Schizosaccharomyces pombe: one gene and its partners. The protein of the gene in region 1 binds, or shares a complex with, the protein of each later gene. Each region holds a gene or a part of one and is shown on either strand. Other genes may lie near its edges.

What was found.
Region 2: SPOM_SPBC3H7.04 (region 1) and bot1 share a complex: the UniProt entries of both Schizosaccharomyces pombe proteins name them as parts of the mitochondrial small ribosomal subunit.
Region 3: SPOM_SPBC3H7.04 (region 1) and fyv4 share a complex: the UniProt entries of both Schizosaccharomyces pombe proteins name them as parts of the mitochondrial small ribosomal subunit.

The regions. Positions count from the first base shown.
Region 1 is NC_003423.3:1,875,182-1,878,937, reverse strand, and holds SPOM_SPBC3H7.04 (mitochondrial 37S ribosomal protein mS42), read left to right. Parts: upstream 1-2,156; 5' UTR 2,157-2,378; coding exon 2,379-3,041; 3' UTR 3,042-3,284; downstream 3,285-3,756. Other genes in the region: SPOM_SPBC3H7.05C (uncharacterized protein), read right to left, coding at 3,406-3,756. UniProt on the Schizosaccharomyces pombe protein: Component of the mitochondrial ribosome (mitoribosome), a dedicated translation machinery responsible for the synthesis of mitochondrial genome-encoded proteins, including at least some of the essential transmembrane subunits of the mitochondrial respiratory chain.
Region 2 is NC_003423.3:2,231,191-2,234,946, reverse strand, and holds bot1 (mitochondrial ribosomal protein subunit S45), read left to right. Parts: upstream 1-1,824; 5' UTR 1,825-1,835; coding exon 1,836-2,783; 3' UTR 2,784-3,164; coding exon of another isoform or gene 3,165-3,341; 3' UTR 3,342-3,404; downstream 3,405-3,756. Other genes in the region: SAGA complex subunit Spt8, read left to right, coding at 1-864; SPOM_SPBC14C8.15 (triglyceride lipase-cholesterol esterase), read right to left, coding at 3,165-3,341, 3,405-3,756. UniProt on the Schizosaccharomyces pombe protein: Component of the mitochondrial ribosome (mitoribosome), a dedicated translation machinery responsible for the synthesis of mitochondrial genome-encoded proteins, including at least some of the essential transmembrane subunits of the mitochondrial respiratory chain.
Region 3 is NC_003423.3:3,431,653-3,435,408, forward strand, and holds the start of fyv4 (mitochondrial 37S ribosomal protein mS41 ), read left to right. Parts: upstream 1-2,015; 5' UTR 2,016-2,073; coding exon 2,074-2,167; exon of another isoform or gene 2,168-2,217; coding exon 2,218-2,465; 3' UTR 2,466-2,575; coding exon of another isoform or gene 2,576-2,908; 3' UTR 2,909-3,175; coding exon of another isoform or gene 3,176-3,756. Other genes in the region: U1 snRNP-associated protein Prp39, read left to right, coding at 1-322; autophagy-associated protein Atg5, read right to left, coding at 550-942, 1,014-1,188, 1,235-1,353, 1,440-1,538; SPOM_SPBC4B4.12C (uncharacterized protein), read right to left, coding at 2,576-2,908; plasma membrane pantothenate transmembrane transporter Liz1, read right to left, coding at 3,176-3,756. UniProt on the Schizosaccharomyces pombe protein: Component of the mitochondrial ribosome (mitoribosome), a dedicated translation machinery responsible for the synthesis of mitochondrial genome-encoded proteins, including at least some of the essential transmembrane subunits of the mitochondrial respiratory chain.

The DNA of each region.
Region 1 (3,756 bases):
ACGATAAAACAGTGAAAGTATTTACCGACCCAATCATTCGTTTACTAATGCTAAATTTGATACTATAACTGTTGATAATTGGACGTATTGAACTAAAGCGATTCTGTAGAAGCCAATATCTTGACTCGCTAAAGTTACACGTAGCCAATAAAAGGGGTTACCACCTTCCTCTCAGCGTACATTATTGGTCAATGCAAGAAAAGGTTTCTAAGGATTTAAAAGGCTTCTCCGTGTTGCGTTATTCGACATAACACTTGCAAGTGAATCCTTATTTATAAAAGAGATGGATAAGGAAAGACAACGTATCCATCACCGGTAATTGTATGACAAGCAGAAGCTATATATCAAAGGAATTGTACATTCGTTCTCAGCTATTTCTCACTAGCCAGATGTTACTATTCTTCACTTGTCTTGCACGCTTCCCAAACCATTTCGACCGCCCGAAAACAATCAATACCAATTAATACTTACGACATCATTGAGAAGAAATGTTATAAATAGACCTTAGCTAAACTGAAGGAACATATACTCTCAATTGCAAAAATGGTTACTAAAACCGATGTATTACGGTTAGTTGTATTACAAAAATTTATTTAAAATGTATGTTAGTATGTCATCAATTATTCATGCTTCTTGTCCTTGATTATTGTTATATATCTTTTGAGCGCACATCAAATAAATTAAACGGATTGGTAATTACAAAACAGACATGCTGAGTTTGTGTAAAAATCATCGCTAATTCTAGGTGGTATATTTAATCTATCCTATAGAAGAAATTACCTTTACTCGTTAGTAATGTCTCGTACCATTGACACAGTCTAATACATTAGCAATTAAAAAAGACTGTGGCATGGCCTGTAAAAAATACGCATCTAGCTCTTATTTTGGATAAAAATAAATAAATATGTGACTTACTGAAAAAATTGTACCAGGGTCAGATGAAACGTTGAAAATTATTCGCTTATAGCCCTGATCACTAATGGCATGTAATCCAAAACTAGTGGATAGTGAAACAATCTTCTATTTTAACTATAACCAGATAATATTAAATTTAAAAAAAGTATCCGTAATCCATAAATCACTTGTTACTGTTGTGTAGAGCCTGAAATTGCAACAAGACCGGGCTTGGCAGCATGTATGCATACTTGGGTTATTCCGTCTAAGTTTCAGCAGTTCTTCCTTAATATAGTAGTAATCTTTTTGTCTCAAATCCCATATTTCTTCTAGCTCAGCCCCAATGGTAGGTATTCTTCAAAAACATTTGTATGCAGCTAGTTATTCCCTATTTCGCTTGTAAGCATATGAAACAATCCCAGTAGCCTCGGCTAAAAATAACCTTAAACTTTTTTTTATTGCCAAAGCAGCTTTTTGAACGATGAAAGAAATGAAGCTTCGAAAAAAATGCAGTGCACTTACAATTTTAGTTAACTAAAACTAAAAATAAATGGTAGATGTTTCCAATCCATGAACGGTGTTATGAACCTGTATCAATTCCTAATTAATCGTTAGCGTATGGTTTCATAAACGATTAATCACGAATGTTTAGATCAAATTTGAGTAAGCTTTTGAACAATTAGGCTGCAATCTAAACGGTTACATAAAAAATTTGAGGGTCTCTTGAATTACTGAGACAAAAAAAAAAATCGGGCTGTTGTGGGAATCGAACCCACGACCACCATCACCCTAAGATGGTATCATACCACTAGACCAAACGGCCACAATTGTCATTTATAAACGTTTAACATATTTACAGTTCTTTCACATAAAAGTTGTGATCATTCGAATATTAAAGTTATTTTTCTTCTTCTCAAGTCAATGAATCTTCTTATAAAAGACGAAGTAAATTTGATTGAAAATGAGTCATACAGCTTACTTTTAAATTGAATCATGGTCATATTGGGAATAAAGGCTTTTATAATCCACCGTTTAAACCCGTTGAACGCTTTAAGATTACTTTCACAATTTTTTTTGGGAAACTTGTTAACAAATTCATTGTAATACTAGTTAAGTTTCAACGAAGTTTTAGATTTCTGTTAATTCAACTTCAAAAATTTATATAGTGGTATAATGGTATATATCGCAACAAGGAATGCAGAACTTTCATACCGATATTTTACTTGCGCCAGTAGGGCTGCTTACCTCTCTCTGAGCGGTCTGAGTGGAACGCCTTTACCAATATTGAAGTTGAAATATTTCAAACATTCAAAAACGTAGCATCTACACTATTTGATTTTCATATTTTGTTAATACTTAATGAATTAATTATACAGTTTGGTCGTCTTTGCCAATTTCTTAGGATTACAAAATTTAAACCCGCATACTTGATTTCCATTGCAGTTTTTTATACCCATTCCCTAACTATTACCTCAATTTAACAAATGAGTTTTCAACAGCGCTTCGCCAGAGCGTTGGACGTGGGCTACAAGAATTTTTTGTCAAAAGATGCGGTCAGGAATATCTTTGCTTATGACAACCACTTACGAGGCCTAGTACAAAAAGAATGTAAAATTCATCAAACTCCGTATCGTGTGCCTTCAGATTTAATGGTTCAAAGCGCTAGTGACCCAGCCCGCGCTAATTTATTCAATTACTCTAGCCAATTGGTAAATCATGATTTTTTCTTTTCCGGCCTTATTTCTCCAGAACGGCCCTCTGCAGATGCAGATTTAGGAGCTATCAACCTAAAGCCTGGAATTGATGCATCCTTCGGTTCATTTGGTGAGTTGAAGTCTCAAATGGTTGACGTTGGCAATTCAGTTTTTGGTGATGGTTGGCTGTGGTTGGTATATAGTCCAGAAAAATCTTTATTTTCCTTATTATGCACGTACAATGCGTCAAATGCCTTTCTTTGGGGAACAGGATTTCCTAAGTTTCGTACCAATGCAATTGTACCGCTTTTATGCGTTAACCTTTGGCAATATGCGTATCTTGACGACTATGGTTTAAATGGTAAAAAAATGTACATTACAAAATGGTGGGATATGATCAATTGGACGGTCGTCAACAATAGATTCCAAGCTACGCGCATTGAATCCCTTTAGCTAACCCGACTGAATCCTGCACAATTTTCAATCTTTTTCTACTTCTCTCCCCTCCTCTCCCGGCTACGTTTTGTATGCAAGTGATCATGGTGGCTTACTATGGGTTCACTTTATCTGATTGAAAAAACCCATACTATTAACAAATCTTATAAATAAATAAAGTTTTGTAATTACTGTTGGCAAAGAATGAGAATTAGAATGCTAAATGTAATGTTTCCCTCTATATATTATTTAACATTCCAACAATATCTACGGAAAAGTTAATTTAGTTGAACCATCCATTAAATGTATAAACTAGGACACATAGCAATTATCTGATACTTTAGAGGTTTCGGAAGGTCAAACATAGACATTAAACAGTAAATTAAATTTGCGAGCATGTTTTCCACTTAAATTTTAATAATACGACTCCCATACCATATGTTCCATTAATAAGCATTTCGATTATTAGGACCCAATAATGATATTTGCGCAAGAGGGGAATCCTTTTTTCAAGATTAATAAGGAAAGGTTGAATTAAAAGCTGAAAAAAGAAAGCAGGTGAACAGCGTCCAGAAATTGACCAATAGGCAAAGTCATGGAATAATGCTGAAAGGAAAAAACATGAACAACTTGCCAGAAACTTACTTCCAGTGAGGGCAATAGTTGGATCCCAAGCAATCACTCTGAAATAGGGCTTGGTACAAACATGCCAATCTCTGGACCAAAAATCATT
Region 2 (3,756 bases), 360 kb from region 1:
TTACATGGTTCCGAGAAAAAAGTATTGAGTGGAAGCTGGGACAAAATGGTTTATTACTGGGACCTTAACACTGGTGATGCAATATCTACATACAATTGTGAGAGTGGTCAAATTTCGAATATAGTTTATCGTCCATCAGGCGCTGTAAATCCTTGGGGTTCTGAATCGGACGACATGCGTAGTTTGTTCGGTACACCTGCGTCTTCCTCTTCTTACGATGCACTGTTTGATGAAGAGGTGGAAAAAGCCATTGAAGAAGAAACTAAATCTGTTCAAGCAAATGAGGAGAACGAGACAGAAAAACCCTCTCAAACCGAATCTACTACTAACAATGACAACATAAAAGCTCCTTCCGAATCTTCATCCGAAGAGTCCAATATTTTCTTAACGACGTCTATAGATGGAGTTATGAATGTATGGGACCATCGCATGGTCGATTCTGTTCTCAAATACCCCGTCCCCAAGGGTGTACCACCATGGGCTATGTCTGCATGTTGGAGTCCGGATGGAAATAATATATATATTGGCCGCCGAAATGGAATCGTCGAAGAATATAACATTCACTCTGGCAAGGAGCCTGTTCGCTCTTTAAAAATGCCTCTCGATTCGGGTCCTGTTTCAAATGTCTATTCGATGCCGAATGGCCGTCACCTTGTAATTTCCTCCTTTGATAATATCCGCCTTTATGATCTTCAAAGCAAGGCCGGCATAGGGTTCTTAATTATTCCAGGTCATCATGGAGGTCTTGTCAGTTCGCTTTATGTAGACACTTCTTGTCAATTCATGTTTTCAGCTAGTGGAAATCGAGGATGGCAAGGAACTACTACTGAAGTGTTCCTCGGATACCAAATAATGACTTCATAAAATGCTTTCTCTAAAACACATATTCGCAATAATGTACATTATGATAATAGACTGAAAGGAAGTGGGTTACGATTTAGTCGGTCAAATACAAAATGGTCTTTGAAAGGCACTTTGGATTTTGCCTTAGTAGGGTCAATTATATGCCTATTGTCGTTTAACTTTAAAAATCTTTTTGAATTGTCTCCCTTTCAACATTTGAAATAAACATCTCAGTTAAAGTTTTTAGAATAATTGTTAAGCCCATGCACTCTTCATTAGTTGATTGCTTTTTGGGTTTTTGGTTACTCTCTAAATAATTTGAGGTAAGTTTATAAATGTTTCCTTAAACCTATTTCCCCTTTTTTGCCGAATATAATAAACTTAGGTATTAAGCTGAGATTGTTGGTTATGAACTTTCTGACAAATATGATACACAAATCGTTTTGTTTGTATAACATGTATTCTAAAACTTTCCTCTACTTTAATTTTCAATTTGGAATTTCCTAATCAATTTAATGCCATCCATCCGCTTTATTATTTGTTGATGTGTCAATTGCCAAACAAAAATATCAAGGACATGCGAAACTCTTGTCTAAAGAAGCAATGACCGTATTTAATGAATTTTTTTCGTTTGATTCTGTAGAAATTATGACTTAAATTGTGTATTTATTTTTTAAGTATTGATGTGTATAACTGTTCGTATCCTAATATTGGAACTGACTCTCAAACATTCTATAGAATAAACAAAATCTTACTTTATTGCATACTGAGAGTTATTGTCTCATAAATAAATCAAGCGTCTGTATGTTAATCGGATCTTATAATGGAGCTAGATTGCTTGACCGCCGGAGGTTAAATTTGAGTTTTCCTAAATCGTCTCATTAATTATTGGTTTTTTGAAGTTTATTTTCTATATCTATCTTGATGAATAGAATTAGGGCGTGTTACTAACTTTTGGGGAGTGACACAAGAAACCTTTCCAACGCACCTAAATGAGGAATTCAGTGGAATTCTCACAGTTAGGGCTTAAAACGGCTTTTAATTTATCTCAAAATAAAACTTATACCTCAGCAGTCAAGAAACAATTCTTTAGTACTGGAGCATTTTTAAGCAATGGGGGAAATATTGATTTAAATAAACACACTCAAAAGAACATTGATTCAAAGTACGTTGCTTGCAACTCAAGATCTGTAACACCCCCAAATGATGTTGCTTCTTCAGTTTCTAAGAATACACTTCGTCATAAACAACGTTTAATGATGGCTCAATGGTTAATGTCTCCCGAAGTACAGAAAGCAAAGTCCTCATCATCTGGTAATGTAGGCTTGGGACCTAATACAAATCAGCCCTTCCCTTTAAACCCTTTTTTTAAGCCTCCTAGGCCTATATCTCATTCTTTGCGTATGAAAATTACCGATGAATACTTGCAGGGTGCAAGTATAGAAGTGCTTGCTCGAAAATTCAACACATCTCCACAAAGGATTGAAGCTCTTATAAAGTTGAGAAGAATAAATGATGAATTCGAAGAAAAAAAGAAGCCGATTCTTCATAGTTATAATGAAGTTATGGAGAAAATGCTGAACGCATGTACTAAACCTGAGATGATGCAGTTTAATGACGGAAACGATATTCCTTTGCGTTCCAATCCAGTATCCCTTTGGAAGAGTTTGCCTGAGGGAGAAACGTTTACACCTCAAGAGGCTGCTAAAATCCTGAAGTGGCCTTCGATTGAGGAATTAAACATGAGACAAAACGCTACTCACTTCCACAAAACATCTGATGAGCACAAAGATTTGAATGAAGATGAAGAGCTAATTTCTTCAAGCCCCAGCGAAGTTGGGAAGCGTGTTTTTAGGCTCATTGATCTTTCTACTGGTAATGTGTATAGAAGGGATACCGGCGGGGATATTTATGTTAAGAGAAAAAAATCTACTACCTGAAAATCAAGCATTTATTTCCCGTTTTTGAAAGAAAATTTACCCCCTTAGCATGCATTAGCGGCAGTACAATCCATTTCAAACTTTTGCGAAATAAAATCTTGAATTGTTACAAATTCACTCAGCAAATTCTTCTAGTTGTTGCATTATCTAAAAGTTATTTGTACATATAAAAATTGCATAGTTTTTTTTGCTTTCGTTGCCATATTGACTTTTTCAAATTAAACAAAGAAACTTTTTTTAGCCGTTTAATACAAATACTGATAAGAAGGGTTGCACATACGATGAAACAGTCTATACAACACTGTGCTTCAGTTTGATTTAGAACAGAAACTTATCTAACATATTAAATATACATTGTGCCAGTTTCAGAAGCGATGAACACTATATTGTATGGTTCATAACGCCGTCAACCAATTCTGTGTCAAGTCCAAATTCTTCTTTTATGCTTTCAAAGTAATCTCCAGCAATGACATGATTTAGTTGTTCTACGACTTGCTGAATTACTATGTCCTTTTTCGTATCTCCCATGATGATGTCGAGATGCTCATAGTTAGGAATCTTTAATTTTAACTTGTTAGTTTCCACTTAAGTAAATGAAGCTACAACTGTTTCAGAACATACCTGAATGCATTGAGATAATGGTGGAAGTTGGGTCTTGAGTGTTTCAATGTCCACCATGTTATCGTTACTGCCATAAACTAAAGTAATAGGTAGACGTATATTTTCAATCGGATAGCGAGCAATTCGGTTAAGATTTGTATAGTAACTTGGCTTAAATCCTGGACTGTCATCGTACATTTGTAATACTTTGCGACGCGTAATTTGAGCCCAATGTACAAAGCATTTGACAGAAGTAAAGGAATATAGATGGGAGTATGCAACGATTTTCTGAGTTTCGGAAATATTTTTTCCGGTCCAGCTCAGAAAAAAGCGAAGAAACAGATCAACAATTTTTGCAAAAACTGGCGGATAT
Region 3 (3,756 bases), 1.6 Mb from region 1:
GACGATAATGGATCTTACAAAGCTATACATGGAATATCTTTGCCACCAATCCAACGATCCTTCAGTTTTACAGGAATACTTATTAATTGATCGAGATGTCTTTGGGCCTTTTAGTGTACGGGAATCCCACTGGAAAAAGCTCGATGAAGGACAAGATTTGAAACAGGTTAGTACTAGGCTTTTAAGCACTAACGGTCACCCTGGTATTTCTGTGAATGAAGCAAAAATCAAGTCTGGTGAATCTCCATATGAGAAATATTACCGTCTTCAGGGTGTTGTTGAGACAGTAACATCTGGTGTTGCTGCCAATGGGTCTTCATAATCTACGACTTCTCATTAAAAAGAAATTTTCATAGTCAAATTATCAATGCTATATCTCGTTGCATTTCCTACTTCTTAAAAAGCAGTTTGTTTAGGGAAAGGAGTACTCAAACGCACCTTAATGTCATTGTAAAGTCATTGCTAGACTGCATGGGTATACAAATCTTAAAATTATTTGTACATGAATAACAAATTATCTAAAGGAGCTAGAGAAGAGACGTAAATGTTTTAAACTTTCATTAAAACAATATGTAAAAACCCATCAATGTAACAGAAATCTCGATTGAGCTCGTCTAAAACGCTCTGAAGAAAAATTGTAATACCATGAATAACTGGTTTAACTATTAAGAATTTATCACATGATGGAAACAAGTCGGGAAGGCGTTTATTGAGAAACTCACCAAGAGAACTACCAAGAGGTGCAGAAGTTTGTATAATAGGAGCATTGGCCCCTAAATAAATTTTTAAAGGAATGAATTTGGATTTTGAAAAAAGTATTTTTATAGCAATGGGACGGAAATCATAGTAATCATGATTGAGTATTGCATTCCAGTAGGTGTCTGTTTCTGCCTTTGAAAGAGCGATTATTCCAGACGAACTTCCGTTACGAACGTAATCAGACTGTAAAAAGTTAATATGGATTTACCCCTTTTGTAAATAAATCATATATGTTTTTGTGATAGAGAACGCACCTCTTTTAAGCAGTTGAAAAAATATGTTCGAAAAGTATCCATGGTTTCCATTTGAAGTATTTTGGTTGTAGGAAATAGACCTGAGCGCAATTGAATGCGCCATAGCACCGGCGCTCGAGGAGTATCCGGATCAAACACTGTTAACAAATCGAAAAGTAAGCCAACAGGCCAATGCCTATATTATGATTAATTTACGGAAAGTTACTTTGGGTAAACGATACCATTTAAGAGGAACCCCATTATAATCCAACCAACATTCTGATAAAGGGATTGAAGGTGCCAACAGACGTTGAACATTTGGGAGTATTTGAGCAAAATATGATTGTCGCGGGACGTTAGCCTTAGGTAGAATATGGTGAGCAAAAAGGAAAAAATAAATTGAGTTAAAGAATATTAAATTACTACTTGAGTGAACAAATCACATACTAGATAGGCCAGAGAATTACCTTCATAATCAATGCGCACAGAAATAGTGCCATTCCAAAGGAGCTCTGGAATATTGCCTTTATTATTATCGACATTCATTTTTAAAAAACATCTCCAATACTGTGATTAGAAATTGTGCTTTTGTTGTATACTTAACAAACTCGTGGGTGGTTGGAATGCGTTGATAAATAGCTTAGAGTCAGACATTCACTATAATTAGTTAAATTAATGTTTTTACAATTAAAGTAAGTGGGCTTTAAATACACATAGTAGAGTCTTCAAAAAATTCACCCGAAAATATAACTGGTAATTTATATGTTCAAAATACGAGTTCCTGCTATACAAAAACCGCAATTAGGAATTTGTAGATTCACTGTATTGATTAGTTAATAGACACGTAATGACTTTTCGGAAGTAGAAGTTTGAGATATTCAAGGGACTTGAAAGTTTGCATGCAGTAAATCTCATAAAAGAATTAAAAGCAAGGATTTATATAGCTAATAATTGCAGGCACTAAGCTTGACATGGTCGCACTATGAGTCGCTAGTACGTTTGTGAGACTTTCGCATACGTTCCAGAAACTGTACACAACTTATTTAAACAACCAAATATTTTTAAAACAATACTGGTAAATATGTTGATCTTGAAGAGGATTTTCATTATAAGAAATTTTATATTTCCTTTTTCTAACTGCCGGTATGCCTCTACTGTTCCTAGTCCAAGATCAGGTATGAGATTTCAAAACATTAGTGCAATTTAAATTCCTAACAAGATTCAGGGATTTCTAATACAAATGATTTCTTTAAAAGAATTGGAAGAGATACTGCAGAAAAAGTGAACGGAAAATTCGAGTCTTGGGATGGTCTATTTAGGAAAAGTACAAAAACTATGAAAAAGGAAGGTATTGATGTACGTACAAGGAAATACATTGCAAGCCAAAGAAACCGATTTAAAGAAGGGTTTATAGTTAAGCCATATCCAGTTATGGTTAAAAAGAATGGAGGTGAGCGACGCAAACGTAAATAATAAGTATATGGAATATTATATTCTTTTGAGACATTCTTTCTTCTTTTTGTAGTTGAGTTTTTGCTTGAGTTCGAATTAATCTAAAATTTGCTTAAAATAGCCAACACTGTTCAAAGCATGTCTTTTCTCGACGAAGATGTGGAGCCTAGAACGCAAAGCCGATTAAACAATTGTCCATGAAACCATTTAGCAAATTCTGGAGAATTTTCCATTAGTGCGGAATTGGCGCTAGGGTATTGTCTCCCTCTTTCCAAGTTATTTTCATTTGTTTCGTTCACGGGCTTCCATTCCCACTCTCCTGCCCAGATTAATTTAGCTTCAATTTTTTCTCTAGTCCTAATATATAAAAAATTTTCTTTTAGCTCCATTAAGTCTACACCATCGCTAAATTCCTTTAGGACTGATGTATACTCAATAACTTGTTGATCATTGCCGGATACCATCCAAACTATACGTATAGTTGGTATTTCTATTTAATGGTTATAAATTTTTAACTTCAGCTGCACCTTAAATCGTTTGTTAGCAGATTCTTTTTGAGTATGTGTGCAAAGGTATTCGTTTGCGTTTGCGTCAAAGGGCTTGGTCAATTAGATGAGCCAACTGTGGTAAATTTTTATGTTAGGTTGATATCAATATGAACAGCAAATTTACTCTAAATGTGTACTTAAAGGCATAAGGAATATTTATACTATGTCATTAATCTTCTAGTACTAATCTTGGGCATTCGTTTCTTTTGGCATGGAAATTCGCTGTCGCGTTATCACAAGCCCTGGAGAACTAATTTCTTTGACCGCATTAGTTGTGTTGAGTGATTCCTCATCATTTTTGCCTATTTTTTTTAACTCTAAACTTTCATGCTCAGTGAATACATCATCGAAATCTTTTGCATCCTGGATGGATCGTTTAATTCTTTTATCGCGGATTTGCATGTAACTAACAATACAAGAGCTAACAAAGACTATTCCTCCTACCACCAGCAAACCAATTAATCCTTTTATAAATCGAGGCGTATCAGTATTGGGATACATTATAGGTGCCCACCAAATATGCCAGATATTCTGACACATATTCATCAAAAACACAACAACTCCTCTTTCCTGATCATTATCCCGGCAAATGTCATTTGCCCAAGAAAACCAAACTGCTTGTCCAGCATATGTACAACCAGAAGCGAAATAAGCAAAGAATTTTGCGCCATCTGGCACGTTCCATGCTAGAAGTATTGTAGCAGAAACAGTAGTAATTACGCACAGAAAAAGTCCAAAAGGCCATCTTGGGTTTCCAGCTAATT